Linked DNA regions of Macaca fascicularis. The protein of the gene in region 1 purifies or fractionates together with the protein of each later gene. This does not show direct contact. Links are inferred from orthologs where the notes say so. Each region holds a gene or a part of one and is shown in the gene's direction. Other genes may lie near its edges.

Region 1 (3,813 bases):
TTTGCGAAGTATACACAGATCACTTCTGTCTCTGCAAGTCTCTTGAATGTTTGCAACTTCAGGCACACTGCCAGAACCACTCAGTCCAGGTCTGACTATCCAGAACCTTCACTGTGCCTGTCTTCTCTGTTCAGAACACCAGCCCTCAGATGATTCTAAGGACCAGCAAGAACGCTTCACAAAACAGGGAAATAACTGTTCTGGTTTAAACATGTTTCCATTTAGAATCTGCCAGGCTAGAGTCCTCAAGGATTGTGTAGGGTCAAGAAACAAAATGGGAAGGTGGGGAAAAGTAGATCGGGAGTCTGGAGACGTGGCTTCTGATCTGACCTTGGCCGCTTAACTATTTGTGAGCCCTTGAGCAAGTCACAGAACCTCTTGGGCTTCATTTCCTTAGATATAGGATAAACCCAGAGGGTGCTTATAGGATTTCAGGGAGGCAGTGGTATGAGTTTGAAAAGTAGACAGGGAGAACATGCATATTAATTTAACCTAGAAAGGCTGATGAGTTTTGTTACAGAATTTAAAAGATGTGGAGGTGAGAGTCCACTTTATCAGGGCTGGAATTCTAGGGCATTGGGCGAGGCCCCCTCCTCAGCCTTTACCTTCCCCATTGTAGTCAAAGTAGAAGTTTTCTCTGTTGCAGGAAGTTTCGTCCTTTCCATCATCAGTTTAAATCCTTTCCTGAAATTTCTTTTCTTGGACCCAAAGATGCAAGTCCCTTTGAAGCCCTGACGACCCTGAGCAGCAGGCACCATACCAGGTGGGTCTTTCTGGTTCCTGAGTACCAAGGGCTGGTTACAGGCCAAAGTCCTCCCTATTGGGGGCCTGCTGGTCAGATTTGGGAATGGCCATGTGTTTGCTCCTTAGGCAAAGTCTATTCTGGGAATGTAGCCCAGAGAAGAGAGACTAGGAGCATTCATCCATTTTATTTTGTGTTCTTCATCCGTACTGAAGAATTTAACTTGAAGAAGAAAGGGAGGTGCCAGGGTTGTGAGGGGCACCCCTTTCTCCTTAAGAGTCCAAGAAGACTTATTTCCTAATTCACTGCTGAGTCACAGCACTCTTACCCTGTCCACCCAGAACCCCTGGCCTGCACTGTTTCCCCCAGAGCATGGACCATTGCAACCGAACATGGTGTGCTCGGCAGGGTTTACCGAGTATACACAGAGGACAATAGACTGCTTTCTCAAACTCATAGACCACCATCATCAGAGTCCCCTGAGGTCTCATTAAAAATGCAAGTTCTAACTGGGCACAACGGGTGATACCTGTAATCTCAGCACTTTAAGATGCCAAAGTGGGAGGATCATGTGAGGCCAGGAGTTTGAAACCAACTTGGGCACACAAACATAGCAAGACCCTGTCTCTACAAAAAAAAAAAAAAAAACGTAAAAAATTATGAGTCGGGCAGAGAGGCTCATGCCCGTAATTCCAGCACTTTGGGAGGACAAGGTGGGCGGATCACTTGAGGTCAGGAGTTTGAGGCAAGCCTGGCCAATATGGTGAAACCCCATCTCTACTAAAAATGCCAAAAAAAAAAAATTAGCTGGGCATGGTGGCGCACACCTGTAATCCCAGCTACTCGGGAGGCTGAAGCAGGAGAATTGCTTGAACCCAGCAGGCAGAGGTTGTAGTGAGCTGAGATTGTGCCACTGCACTCCAGCCTGGGCGATGGAGTGAGACCCGTTCTCAAAAAAAAAAAAAAAATTAGTCAAGCATGATGACAAGTGCCTGTAGTCCCACCTACTCAGATGGCTAAGGCAGGACGATCATTTGAGCCCAGGAGTGCAAGGTTGCAGTAAGCTATGGTTGTGCCACTGCACTCCAGCCTGGGTGACAGAGTGAAACCCTGATGCAGGGTCCTGAACTCCACCCCACATCTATAGAATCAAAATCTCTGATGATGGAGCCCCAAAAGCTGTATTTTACAAGCTCCCAGGTGATTTTAGTGAATATCAAAGTTTAAACTGGTTGGGCCAAATGTCAGGAATAACTAAGGGGCAGGGCGGGAGAGAAGATCACTGCATTACGTGACTCATGGCTTGTGGGCTTGTTAATATGTCTACTGTGCAGATGTTTGAGAATTTGAACCCTCATTAACCAAAGTAGAGAAGGAGTTCAGCTCAGGTGATGGGTGAGATGCCTTCTCAGACCCTTTCTAACCTCTGGGCTATGGGGTTATAGACCAGGAAAGAATAGAGCAGACTCTTAGCCCTAGAGTTCCTGGGGCCAAGGAGGGTCTGTGGTTTCCATCTGACAAAGGCTGTGGGTCAGAAAATAGTACAAATAAGAGGGAAAAATTTAAGGGAATGTGGCAGTAGATGAAGTGGGAGCAAGGAGAGAAAGAGGTGAGGTTAAGTCCCAATACAAGGGATACCAGAGAGAGCCAGTCAGAAGGTGACCCAGGCTTGGCGCTGGTAGTGATGCTAGGCCTGGGATGGCCTTGAGATCACAGAGGAGCTAAGAGGCTTTAAAGGGAAGATGAAGCAATGAAGCTTTGGTATCTGCATGTGAGGAGCCTAGGCAGGGGGTTGGCCCTGGTAGGACATCAAAGTTCCAGACGTGTGTGTATGTGTGTGGAAAATCTGTGTAGGAAGAAGTGTTTAAATTTTTACATTTTTGAAATCATTATTTTAAAGTTTAAAATTTTTAAAACTTAAAAAGTTTAAAATTTGTGTTACAAATGGTTTAATGTGAAAAGTCTATATTCCACACCCAGCCTCCAGTTCTATCCCCTCACCGGTGCAACCTTCCTCCCAGGGGTAGAGGCTGGAGGAGATCCGAGTGGTGCCTCACCCCTGCCAAATGGAGAGTGCAGCCTGGGGCAGCATGAAAAGAAAAACCAAGTAACATCCAGCACAGTCAATACTATCAGCACAGTCAATACTATATGATTCTTTTTTTTTTTTTTTTTTTGAGAATGAGTCTCTCACTGTTTGTTGCCTAGGCAGGTGTGCAGTGGGGTGATCTCTGCTTACTGCAACCTCCACCTCCCGGGTTCACACAATTCTCCTCCCTCAGCTTCCCGAGTGGTTGGGATTACAGGGCACACACCACCACGCCCAGCTAATTTTTTGTATTTTTAGTAGAGATGGGGTTTCACCATGTTGGCGAACTGGTCTCAAACTCCTGACCTCGTGATCCACCCACCTTAGCCTCCCAAAGTGCTGGGATTACAGGAATGAGCGACAATGCCCAGCCTATATGAATTTTTTTTTTTTTTTTTTTTTTTTTTTTTTGAGACGGAATCTGGCTCTGTCGCCCGGGCTGGAGTGCAGTGGCCGGATCTCGGCTCACTGCAAGCTCCGCCTCCCAAGTTTACGCCATTCTCTTGCCTCGGCCTCCCGAGTAGCAGGGACTACAGGTGCCCACCACCTCGCCCAACTAGTTTTTTTGTATTCTTTAGTAGAGATGGGGTTTCACCGTGTTAGCCAGGATGGTCTCGATCTCCTGACCTCGTGATCCGCCCGTCTCGGCCTCCCAAAGTGCTGGGATTACAGGCTTGAGCCACCGCACCCAGCCATGATTCTTTATGTAAGAAGAGGGAATGAAGGATACATATGTACTTGTGTATCTATGAACTATCTCTGAAGATAGACCACGCCTGTAATCCCAGCACTTGGGGAGGCCAAGGGGGAATGATCACTTTGAGGCCAGGAGTTCGAGAACAGCCTGGGCAACATAATGAGACCACCATCTCTATTTTTATATTTTTAAAAAATCTGGCCAGACACAGTGGCTTATACCTGTAATCCCAGCACCTTGGGAGGCCAAGGCAGGTGGACCACTTGAGCCCACGAGTTTGAGACC
Region 2 (4,250 bases), on another chromosome or scaffold:
TTACTTTTGTCTTGATCTATCATGGTCAAACTCTGTCTTGTCTTGATGTTCTGTGAAATTGTTTATGTTCAACAGAAGAATAAAAATGCTTAGCTTTGATTGCCAGGCCAGCTCAAAGCAACGGCAAGCCAAGCTGGTAGTACCAGGCCATCTCCTGGATGTCACGGTCTGCTTTTCTCTTTCTCAGTATCCACACTAGAATTCTTGATTTACTCTCTTCCACCTCACTCAATCAAAACCCATTACCTCACAGACTTCCCTTCTATGTGGCACTACCACCCACACATATGCTAGCCCCAAAACCTCAGATTCACTCTTGATGATGCCCTTTTCTTAATTTTCCACAGCCAATCACCAAATCCCATTGTCTTCTTTCTTTTATTTCTTCCGCCATTGTTCTGGTCCAAACTATCATTATCTTTCTCCTAAACATGAAGTGCATCCTATTTCCTCTGCTTCCACATTTGCCCCTCTATAATCCATTCTCTTCATAACACATAGATCATATCACTCCCTTGCTTTAAAACTTTCAAATAGCTTCCTATTGTACTCAAAATAAAAGCCAAACTTCTTACCCTGGCTTTCAAGGACCACGGTCTGGCTTCTGCCTAACTCTCCACCCTCATCTATCTGGGACTATCTTGCCGCTCACTCACTATGCTTCCCCCACACTGGCCTTTCCTGCCCTGCCCCCGCAACATACCAAGTTCCTTTCTCTCTGCATTTGCCCTGTCCTTTCTTTGCCAGAACAATAGTCTCCCTGCCAGCTCTTTCTCATCCAGGTCTCTTTGAGAGGGCTTCCCTGACCATCTAGATGCCACCTTTCTAGGCACTATCACATCTTTTCATTTTATTTCCTTCAAGTAGTAATCAATACCGGAAAGAATACTGTTCATGTATTCATCCGTTATTGTCATCGCTTCATTGGAATTTAGCTTCCTACAGGGATGGTGTTTGTCTTGCTCACTATGATTTCAGCCCCTAGAAATCCGCCTACCTCAGAGCCAAGGACTCAGTAAACAGTACACACTGCCTTCCTGCCACTGTGCTAATTTCTACTAACACAGTCACAAATAATCAGCATTTTCTGCTTGTTTTTAACGGAAAGTAGGGCACTCAATGAAAAGGAAATAAAAGCAGAGTCAAGAAAGTGCCTTCTATCCATGGAGTACCCAAGTGTTGTGCGGCCACGGTATATAGGGATGTGTCAGCACCTGAGGTGTTTCCTTCTCTGAGCTAGTTTCTTTCCTGGAAATCATGTTGGGCCCTTAGCCTTATGGTTCACCCTGTTTTTTAAGATCATCCCGGGGTTTCATTCCCGTAACCGCTCTTCCAGCTGGCCAAGGGGGCGGGAAGAAACCCCACCCTCTTGCGCAAGCGCCCAGTAGCGGAATCCGCTGGGTCGAGGGCTTTAGTGTGCGCATGTGCAACGAGAGCTGCGGCGGGAAGTGTTGCGCAGGCGCATCCGATCCACTCGGTAGGTGGGGAGCTCTTGGAGACGGCGACCCAGGCATCTGGGGAGCCCCAGAAGTCGTACTCCCTTAAACCGTGAGTTTCAGACGGTTTGTTCCGTGGCGCGGGATTGTGAGGGATTAGGAACGAATTCTGGATGGTGACTTCGGTTTTCTCGCCGTGCAGTTCCTTTCCCCGCCCCCCTTCGGATCCCTCCGACCTGCGGCGGGAAAGTCGCGCGCCTGCGTACTAAGCATCTGGTTCGGTCTCTGGCCCGAGGGAAGCCGGTCTTTTCCGGCTGACCTCGCGGCCAGGGCTGGTCGGAGGATTCCCATTCATTAAGCCATCTCCTCCTCCGCCCAGTACTCGTAGCCAGGGTCGTATCAGTTCTCCATCAACTTGCGTGGGGCCTTGGACGAGCTTCCTGGCGCTCCCTGTCAGTGGCGAAACGGTTTTCTCCCTCTGTCCTTTTCCTGACTTCAAACCGCCCCTGGCGCTCGGCCCCTCCCCCACGCGGTCCCGCAGGCTACGCCGGACTCGCAGCCTCGCCGTTTCCCACTGCGCCGGCTGCTGCGCGGGTACCCAAGCCGGGAAATTCTCCCTGCAGCCCCCTGCCGGCGTTTCTGATAGGTGAAAATAAAGCACATGGAATTCCTTAGAAAAGGCCACAGTGTGCCCTACTGTGGAGGTTTGGACACATGGTGCATTTGAAAATGTTTGCCCCTTTGGGGGCAGTGGCATGTTTTTAGTGCGTGGTTTAGCGAGTGATCTAAACTTCTCCAGTGTTACAATTTTTACAGCTGCTTTGCTTTCCCTGTGGATGTAACCCCTTAGCTGGCATTTTGCATCCCAATTGTCTTGTGATGGAGGCGTCTTTGGGGATTCAAATGGATGAGCCAATGGCTTTTTCTCCCCAGCGTGACCGGTCTCAGGCTGAAGGCTCTCTAAAAAAAAACGAGCAGAATTTTAAACTTGCAGGTATGTGTTTAATTCCAAAGATGTACAGTTGCAGAGATTTTTCAGGCAACAATTCTGTGTTTTCAGTTGCTCTCAAAAAATAAGTAGATTGAATCTTAAAGTGAGTTGTGTGTTTCTATAGGACAGTGTTTTAAAACAGAGCTTCATATGATCTAAATGTAGGACTGAATTGCAATTTGGAAGACTGTAATACAACCCGTTTTACGGTTGAAGTTGTTATGGTCATCAATATTGGTAACTAAGAATGCAGAAATTTGATGATGCCCAAATTAAATTTCTCTTCTCTACCTGTGTTCTTGTCTCTACTCACCACATTGCCTTAAGCTTAAATTTAGAAATTGACACTGGAGATCATCACTTAAGTATTCAAAAGCAGAACTCACAGAGAAAAAAATATGAAATGTTTGTAGCAATAATAAAGCACCATATCTCAGTGTAGAGCATGAAATGTTGTTTGGCCATAAACCAGACCTTGGGGTGAAGAGGACAGGATCAAGCAGTGCGTGCTTTTGTACACTCGCATGTGTGCTTTCATTTCTGCTCTGGCACAGGACCTGGGACATAGTAGGTATTTATTAATAATAAATATTTGTTAAATAGAGGAATTCTAGTTGACTGTATTTGTTTTCCTGAAAGGGTAGCCAGATCTTTTCCATCTTTGTCTGAAGTGAATTCTGTGCTTGTCCAAAAGATACTTATTTTGACCTTTTGTCCATATATTCTTTATAACCCCACCCTAGAAAAATATGACATCACATACTTTCTGCTTTGATGGAAGTCATTTATCCCAGTTACCTAAACTTGAAACTTTAATCTTCAGCTGATGCTTTTTATTTGTTCCCCATATCGTCACCTAGCTTTATTTCTTTTTAATAGGTATGGCATTGTGTCTTCTTTCCATTCCCATTTCCACCACATTAATTCATTTCCTTACACTTTGTTCCTGATTTACAACAGTTTCTCACCTATGCTGCCTGCTTGCACTTTTCCATCCTTCAGTTCATCTGGTACGTTGGTGCTAGAATAATCTTAAAATGCCACTTTCATCCAGTTTCGTGGATACTGTTCCTCTTCCTTTCCATTTTTCCAGCAGTTAGCTGTTTTTTTAGTTCATCTTTCCCTTACTAGTCATTGGACACATAACACAGTAACACAGTCATTGTAGTATTCTTTTTCTATCGCTTAGGATTCTGCATTTTGTCTCCACTGTAAGCCCCTTGGTGGCAGTATCTCCTCTGGCTTCTGAAGTATGTTGTGACTTCAGCAGAGTATCTGAATGGATGACTCTGACTTGGTTCTGGCATCTTGTTTAGGAGAATGCCACTATTCTAATATTCTGAAAATCTGCTGGGAAGTAAAGAATGGGGTGAATTTTATTCCAGATTTCAAAAGTTTTGTAGCATTTATGTAACAGAATATTGGACATTATAAATAATACGATAAATTGTAAAACATGCTAAAACTTTACTATTGCAGCTCTTTTTAAAATATGATCCTTAATAACAGCTAAAATTATATAAACATAACTTCAATGGGGAGTAAAGCTGATGAGGTCCAGGCACGTAACAGTCTCGTAATCTAATTGGGAAAGTAAATCAAATTAGATCATAAGACAGGTATATCCCTGCACCTTATCAGCTTTACTCCTTATTGAAGTTATATTTTTGATTGGATGTTTTATATATCTTTGCATTCCCAGAGCTTAACAGTGTCCAGCACATAGTAGGTGCTTGAAAATATTTGAATGAATGATTTAATGTAAGGATATAAAGTAAAATACTTAGTGTAATGGATGAATAGCATGTCTCTTTATTTTGAGA

What was found.
Region 2: the proteins of DBF4B (region 1) and CDC7 purify together in Homo sapiens (affinity purification with mass spectrometry; 3 studies listed by BioGRID and IntAct, counting the BioPlex papers as one, with this or other methods). This does not show direct contact. The link is inferred for Macaca fascicularis from reciprocal best matches to the Homo sapiens genes DBF4B and CDC7.

Annotation. Positions count from the first base shown.
Region 1 is NC_088390.1:65,794,117-65,797,929, forward strand, and holds part of DBF4B (protein DBF4 homolog B), read left to right. Parts: intron 1-646; coding exon 647-763; intron 764-3,813. UniProt on the Homo sapiens protein: Regulatory subunit for CDC7 which activates its kinase activity thereby playing a central role in DNA replication and cell proliferation. Required for progression of S and M phases.
Region 2 is NC_088375.1:142,924,760-142,929,009, reverse strand, and holds the start of CDC7 (cell division cycle 7-related protein kinase), read left to right. Parts: upstream 1-1,413; 5' UTR 1,414-1,422; coding exon 1,423-1,477; exon of another isoform or gene 1,478-1,548; intron 1,549-1,967; exon of another isoform or gene 1,968-2,286; coding exon 2,287-2,430; exon of another isoform or gene 2,431-2,951; coding exon of another isoform or gene 2,952-2,994; intron 2,995-4,250. UniProt on the Homo sapiens protein: Kinase involved in initiation of DNA replication. Phosphorylates critical substrates that regulate the G1/S phase transition and initiation of DNA replication, such as MCM proteins and CLASPIN.